2 linked regions of the Rattus norvegicus genome follow. The protein of the gene in region 1 purifies or fractionates together with the protein of each later gene. This does not show direct contact. Links are inferred from orthologs where the notes say so. Each region holds a gene or a part of one and is shown on either strand. Other genes may lie near its edges. The genes, in order: Klhl6 and Nudcd3.

The links.
Region 2: the proteins of Klhl6 (region 1) and Nudcd3 purify together in Homo sapiens (affinity purification with mass spectrometry; 3 studies listed by BioGRID and IntAct, counting the BioPlex papers as one, with this or other methods). This does not show direct contact. The link is inferred for Rattus norvegicus from reciprocal best matches to the Homo sapiens genes KLHL6 and NUDCD3.

Annotation. Positions count from the first base shown.
Region 1 is NC_086029.1:94,499,280-94,503,096, reverse strand, and holds part of Klhl6 (kelch-like protein 6), read right to left. Parts: exon of another isoform or gene 1,641-3,817; intron 1,393-1,640; coding exon 943-1,392; intron 1-942. UniProt on the Homo sapiens protein: Involved in B-lymphocyte antigen receptor signaling and germinal center formation.
Region 2 is NC_086032.1:85,262,737-85,266,553, forward strand, and holds part of Nudcd3 (nudC domain-containing protein 3), read right to left. Parts: intron 3,554-3,817; coding exon 3,231-3,553; intron 1-3,230.

The sequences.
Region 1 (3,817 bases):
TCAATGGTTATCATGTGGTATTTGATTGAATCAATAGCCATAAGAAAACAATGGGTTCTTTGGAGAAGTTGACCTTGGCTTGAGTTTTAGAGTAGAAGCAGAAGTTAAGTAGAGGAAGTAAAAAGAAGACGACATTTAGATAGTATCTGCCTTGTTTTAAAGGCTGGGAAAACATATCCTTTGGAGGAACTACATCAAAACTACAACAGAATGTATACATCAACAATTAAAGAAACAGAAGCAATGAATTTGATCAAAAGAGGGACACAGCAGAAGAGTTGGAGTGAGAAGAGGGAAGAGGGGAAATAATGGAGTTATATTTTAATTTAAAAATACATGTTAATTAAATTTGTTTTTAATTAAAAAAATAAAACACCATAGAAGTAGGTGGTAAATGATGGCGGAGACCTGGGCAGGAGATATTCCATCAAAGTGGAGTTTAGGAAACTGTAGCAGAAAGAGTGGGTATCTTCCTGAAAGTGAAGAGCCGAACGGCCAGGGGCAAAGCTCACACCCGTGTCTTCTACCAGACCAGGGGCAGGAATGAGATGGAGGCAGGACAGACTAGGAGCACAGTGATGAAGTCTAAGGGATTTTCAGAAATTCTGGAAAGAAAGGATGAGACTCTCGATCTAGGCAATGTTAGAATAGAACAACAGATACAAATTCTCACAACAGCAGGAAAATGGAAGAAAGTAGAACCCCTTCATAATGGCGATTTGACTAGACCACACAGACCTGGGCAGAGGATGAATGTGAAGGCACAGGGCCACAGCTTTCCAGGTCTCACTTAAGCTTCCCAACAGCTGTATGGAAATGTGATGTCATCCTCATTACACTGAAACCCAGCTTCGGGAATGACGGACTTGTGGACAAGGAGAGTCCCTGGCTATAATGCCTTACATTTCCCACAAAATGCAGTATCTCTCAAGTCCAACTCACCTCGTTGCCAGAAAGATGGTACATCCTGGCTTCCTGAAGCAGGGGGAAGACTTCAGGGCACTGTCTAATGAGAGGGTCTGCTTCCACCATCTCCACGAAGTACCAGGGGTCCAGAAGCGGTAAGCGCACGTTCTCAAGGACACAGGGGAGCAGGCAGAGTCGTTCTGACTGTTTATGCCGGACCCAGCTCATCACAGTCTCAAACACTTGAGACTCTTCAGTCACACACAGGTCGTCGCTCCTCAAAATGTGGTACAAGGTGTCCACGGGAAGTTCGAGGAACTCCTCAGAATTCAGAATCTGAACAAAGTTTTGAATGATGTAGCTTTGAACTTGCGTCTTTAAACTGTCCAAGGAATGTGTGTCTGCCAGCCTCAGTATTCCAATACAATTTTCTGGGTTTAATGCTTCTGTGAGAAAGCTGGCACAGGCATCCACCAGCTGTAGAAACTAAGAGAAGGGAAGAAAGTCAGGCCAGAAAGTGATCATCCTTCAAGAACATTTATCAGTGAGTTGCGTGTGCCAGCCAAACTTAGACACATCGTAAATGCTCAACCACAAGGGGAGAGTCTAAAAATAATACATTCGTATAACAACAACTCTATAAATAGTCTAAGAGCGTGTTTAAGATTACCTTAAGTCACGTGAAAATGTAAAGATTTTCAAACCTCTTCATCAAATCTGATCAAACCCCTAGATTATTTTATTTTATTTTATTTTATTTTATTTTGTAGTGCTGAGGGCAGATACACATCACCACATGCTAAGTGTTCTGCCATCAAGCTGCAGTTCCCACATTTAAGCCTCTGTATTTAATCATCAATTTACAGAAATGATATACAAGTAAATACCTGTTAAATGATACCATAAATAGACATTCAGCTATAGCTATACAGTGGGATAATCCATGGGACAAGTGATTGAATTTCTTCTGTGAATATGCTACAAGTGGGGAAAAAAAGGAGAGAAAAGGAGGAAAAGGATGTAGGAACCTGAGCTCCGCCTACATCTACAAGTCAATGGGCAGCACAAGATGGATGCAGTAGTTATTTTTAAAAGAGGGATCCTAAAGTTGGGCGGAGGGATGAGGGGTCAGGATGAGTCTTGAAAGAATTAGAGAAGAAGTGAGATATAAATAAGATGAAGAGACATTCTATCCATGTATAGATTATCAAAGAATAAAAGTATATTAAAGACGAGAGACTGGGGAGATAATATCAACTTACTTCAACGTATGAACCATATTTGGATCACCGATTTAAGTAACGAAGTCAGAGAAGTGTCTACAGGCACTAATATTTAGGGGCATGAAAAAGTATTATTATTTTTAAGAGCGATAATGGCTTTATCATTATTTTAAGTAAGAATCTTTGTCTTTTAAGCTATGGAGATGGCTCAGCGGATAGAAGTGCTTGTTAATCAAACCCGATGACCCAAGTTCTGATCCCCAGAACCCACAATCACACGCTTAATGATGAAAGGATCTGCTATCCCACTATTCCCTATGGAAGACTGGGACAGGAGGATGCATTACAGCACATGGGCCTGCCAGCCTGGTTTACGCACCTTATCTCAAACAAGGTAGAAGGTAAGGCCCAAATTCAAAGGTTGTCCTCTGACTCCACATTCAGGTTATGGCATGCATGCACCTGCACCGATATACAACGACATGCGTGCATAGCTCACTCCCTCCTTCCCTCCCTCTTTCCTTGCCCTTCCCCCTCATGACACTTTTTTTTTTTTTTTTTTACCATTTAACTTGTTTCAGTGTTTCTTCACAAATGGTGAAAATCCTAAAGTACAGACAAGGAATAGCCATACTGTTGTCACCAACATTATAAATATGAAATTATAAATTTAAACATTTTCTGGTTTAAAAAAATAGATCTGTTCGTCAGTGCAGTTCTGCAGGTGTCTAGTAGGGTGGGTCTCTGTGCTCCTGACCGTGTCCACCTTTATCCATTTTCCCAGGTCCTCCACGTTCACCTCTTTTTCCTCCCATCTGTCCCATTAAAGGTCCAGGAGGCCTCCAGGAACCACCTCACCGTCCTCCACCAAAGCCACCTCGTTCCACGTCACGGCCACCTCAGAAGCCTCCTCTGTCTCTACCTCTGCCACCTCTGAACATTCCTTGAGGACCACCACAGTCCATGAGTCCACCTCTTCCTCCTCGCATGCCACCAGGGCCACCTCAGCCTCGATCACCACCCCAGGTAGAAAGGGTGGCAGGAGGAAGCCCTCGGGCTTAGGGGCTGTACACTGGTTGCATTCTGTTCTCCAAGGGAAATTCTGGTTTCCACAGCCCAGGCTGGGACACTGCCAGTCTCCAGCTCGGTGCTGGGCATTTCCTCCTCCAGAGAGGTTCCCTCTGGAGTCTCCTCTGTCTCCTCCACAGCCTCCGATGTGACCCATGGGTCCTCTGGGACCTCCACAAAGTGATGGTGGCGTCCCTCTGCCCTCACAAGGTGGCATGCCACCCCGCATGCTGTTCATTGGAGGCTTCTTTCAGGCAAGAGAAACTAAGTTTGCTTCCTTGAAAATCCCATCACACCGTTCCACGGCAGCCTTCGCAGTTAGTGGATCTTCATAGGACACTGTGGCGTCACCTTTGTGGTTCACCTTGACAACCCCACACTGCTTAAAGAAGTCTGCCAGATCATCCAGACTCACAGTGTCATTTAATCTTTGTCATAAACTGTACTGTTGTCAGAGTCTTCATTGGGTTCTACAGGAAGGCCTACATCAAGATCTGGTCCTCCCTCCATGGGTCCACCAGGCTTTATTGAAGCCACCTCACTCTCCAGTGCCCATTCCACCGCGTCCTTCTCCCCGCCCACCTCTGCTCATGCCTCCATAATCAAATGCCCCTCTTCTC
Region 2 (3,817 bases), on another chromosome or scaffold:
CAGAGCTAAGCATGGTGGCACACACCTGTGATCCCAGCACTTGAGAGGTAGAAAAAGAATCAGGAGTTCAAGGTCATCCTGGGCTATAGATCTGTCTAGAAACCAAAGGAGGAAAAAAGGAAAAAGAAAAGAAATCAGTGTTCAAAGTCTCAGATCCTAGGTAACGGACTATGAAGAGGATACTGAAAGGGAGAGGTGCTTGAGCATAGATAGTCGCCTTAAGATTCTTCTTCAATTATTCAACTGACAGAATGACACAGCTTCACATCTACCATGGAGAGCTAATTGGTGGAGGAACTCCGGGGATCCAGCTCCAAGTGGAACTAAGAAAAGAAGCGCGTTTGACATTCCATTTTCAGACGCACAGAAACCGCACCTCAGCCGCAGCTGTAGACTGATGCTTCAGCTAGGAACTGACTCACCATTAAACTACTGAAAGGTGAGACACTACATATCTAAGCACAGAAAGAAAGGTCAGGACATCAGAGGTCTAACCTGAACAGCAACTAGAGAAGTAAAAACGTGGGTTTCGGAAACACATACAAATCTTCCCTTTAAACTCACTGCTATGGTAGCACTCGGACTGGCACCATAGCCAGAATGCAGCTTGCTGTTTAAGAACTTAAAAGAGAGCCCCACCATAAGGTAGTTATTCTTCTAGTCCATTACTCAAGCTAAATACAAATTTCTTTTTATTTTAGAAAATGCATTTTTTGGGGTTGGGGATTTAGCTCAGTGGTAGAGTGCTTGCCTAGCAAGCGCAAGGCCCTGAGTTCGGTCCCCAGCTCTGAAAAAAAAGAAAAAAGAAAAAAAAAAAAAAAGAAAATGCATCTTTAAAAAAGTAAACCAAAATTCTTCATTTGTCTTTTTTTTTTTTTTTTTTGGTTCTTTTTTTCGGAGCTGGGGACCGAACCCAGGGCCTTGCGCTTCCTAGGCAAGTGCTCTACTACCACTGAGCTAAATCCCCAACCCTTCATTTGTCTTTTTAAAAAAGGTAAATATAAAAATGAGAGGTTGCAGGAATGTCTCCATCTGTGCAGTAAAGTGCTTGCCTTTAAAACCTATGCTAGAACACTTTGATCCCACCACTTGGGAGGCAGAGGCTGGTAGAGATCTGTCAATTTGAGGCCAGCCTAGTCTACAGAGTGAATTCCATGTCAGCCAGAGCTACATAGTGAGACCCTATTCTTTAAAATAAAATTAAAAGTGAAAAGATCTGAATTTAACCTCCAAAACCCAAGTCAAAACAAAGCAAAATAGTCAGGTACAGTGGAGGTTAATAATCCTAGTCCACAGGCTGGAAAGGTGGCTCAGTGGTTAAGAGCACTGACTGCTCTTCTAGAGGTCCTGAGTTCAATTCCCAACAACCTCATGGTGGCTCATAATCATCTGTAATGGAACCTGATGTCCTCTTCTGGTGTGTCTGAAGACAGCTACATAAAATAAAATATATATAAAATAAATAATTCTTAAAAAAAAATTTAAAATAGTAATAATCCTAGTCCAGGAGAGGCAGACAAGGGGGACTGCAACGTCACTGTCCATTTAACCTGATCAACTTGTGGAAGTTCCAGGGTAATGAGACTCTATCAAAATTTTTAAAAAAAGGCACCTGAGGAACAGCCTCCAAGGCTGTCTTCTGACCGCCATATGCACTTATACACACAGACAGCTAAAATACTCCTTACTGCATGGCTCTGTGAAAGTCACCATTAATAATGCATTGCTCCTCTAGGGTTTTCAGATTTGGCATCCAACAGTAAGGTATATACCGTTACTCTCACTTAACATTAATTATGCCATGAAACATCTGTATCTGTCAAGAGTTAAGAGAAACAGAACTAGCAGCAAATACTGAAAAGGATTTCTGTGAAGGCTGGCAAGATAGCATGGTCTGACAAACTGAGTTCAATCCCTGCAGCCGAGATGAGAGAGAGTCGGAACCAGTATTCTAACATGTCCCGTGGCCTCCACACATGCACCCTGGCACAAGCCCACCCATACACACAGTGAAAAAGCAAACACAGAGCAGGCATGTTTGCGTGCACCTTTAGTCCCAGCACTGGGAAAGCAAAGGCTAGCCTGGTCTACATAGAGAGGTCCAGGACAGTCAAAGCTATGTAGAGAGACCCTGTTTCAAACAGATATAAGGATGGATGGACAGACAGATGAATGAATATAACTATGGGGGATGTCTAAGCCAGTCCAAAATCCACATAGGCCACTGTAAGCTCCCCAAAACTGAGTACAGGTCCCATCCACAGAACTTTACTGAGTGCAGATTCCAAGCACAGAACTTCTTCTACCTCAGGGAAGTTGAAACTGATCAGGTCCACTACTACAGACCCTACACATAGCTACATATTCTTCACAGTAATACTGGACAAGTATTTGAGTGACGAGAAACTACAGCCCTGCCTACATGACAGAAAAAAACTGACTCTCACCTTGGCAATCTTCAAGATCACTTTATAAACAGACAGGCAATTCATGTTTTCTTGCACTTGCTATTTTTTGTTTTTGAGACAGGTCTCACTCTATAGCCCAGGTTGGCCTCTTACTCTTTATATAGACTATGCTGGCCTCAAACCTAAGTGATCTTCCTGACTCTACCTCTAAGTGTTGGGATTGTAGGTACATGCACATGGGAAAACTTTTCTGAATACCTGAATTCTCCAGCACCGAGAAGAACCTCTACCCCACCCCCAAAATCAACTAGCCCTAGTCAGTCAGATCTGAGTTCGGGGCCAGCCTGGTCTACAAAGCAAGTTCCAGAATAGCCAGAGCTACACAGTCTTGAAAATAAACAAACAAACAAACAAACAAACAAAGTAAACCTCTGAGGTAACAGACTCAAAGCTGAGCCCTTCCTAAAGGAGGCCCGGAAGCGCCTGGATGGAAGGCAGTCTGCTCACTAATTAATGTGTCTGAGTGCTGCTTGAGACTAGGAGACTAAGACACCAGCAAGAACAAAGGAATGTGAAGGCCATTTGGAGACAGCAAGATGGCTGTCTGCAAGCCACTGATAGAAGCCTTCAAATAAAGAGCCCAGGCAATACTTTAATTTGGGGTTTCCAGTCTCCAGAACAATTAGAAAATAAATTTCTGTAGTTAACCACCACCCACCAAAACAGAACTGATATTTTATATACCACACAAAACAAAATCCACTCCTAGGCAAACTTAACCTCAGTAGAGAAAGGAGGACACTGAAGAGGAGAGGCTCCTACCTGGGGAGCACAGGAGGGTCCTTAGGGCCTTCAGCAGCACTGCTAGCTGTTCCTGGAGCTTCTGCCTCCTCCGAGCCATGGGTCACTTTGCGCTCGGGGCCCTGTGGGCCTGGGAGCTCCTCCTTTTCTACTTCCCGAGGTCCACTCAACGCTGTGGTAGCATCAATCTCCACCTCCTGCACTGGGACTGGCACAGCTTCCTTCTCAGCTGTGGCAGCTGCCACTGCCTTGGCCTCTTCCTCCTTTTTTCTGATTTTCTCTTCCAGTTCCTTCTTCCTTTTCTCATCATCCTGGCGGGCCATGTGATCAAATGTTTTAAAGACCTAAAAATGAAACATAATCCAACAATAAGTTTATCTGCACCCTGTCAGACCACACCACCACAGAAATATAACTATCTTCTAAGTACAAAATTAAATAACAGGAAACCAAAACAAAATGGACACACTCTACAATTTCACCAAAACCTGGTAGGAATCACTCTTCCTCATTTCCAAAATGAACAAATGCAAACTAAGTCAGATCTCACCACATACAAACCTCGAGGACTCTAGACAGCTTTAATTGTCTTTACTTTTGGGGGACTG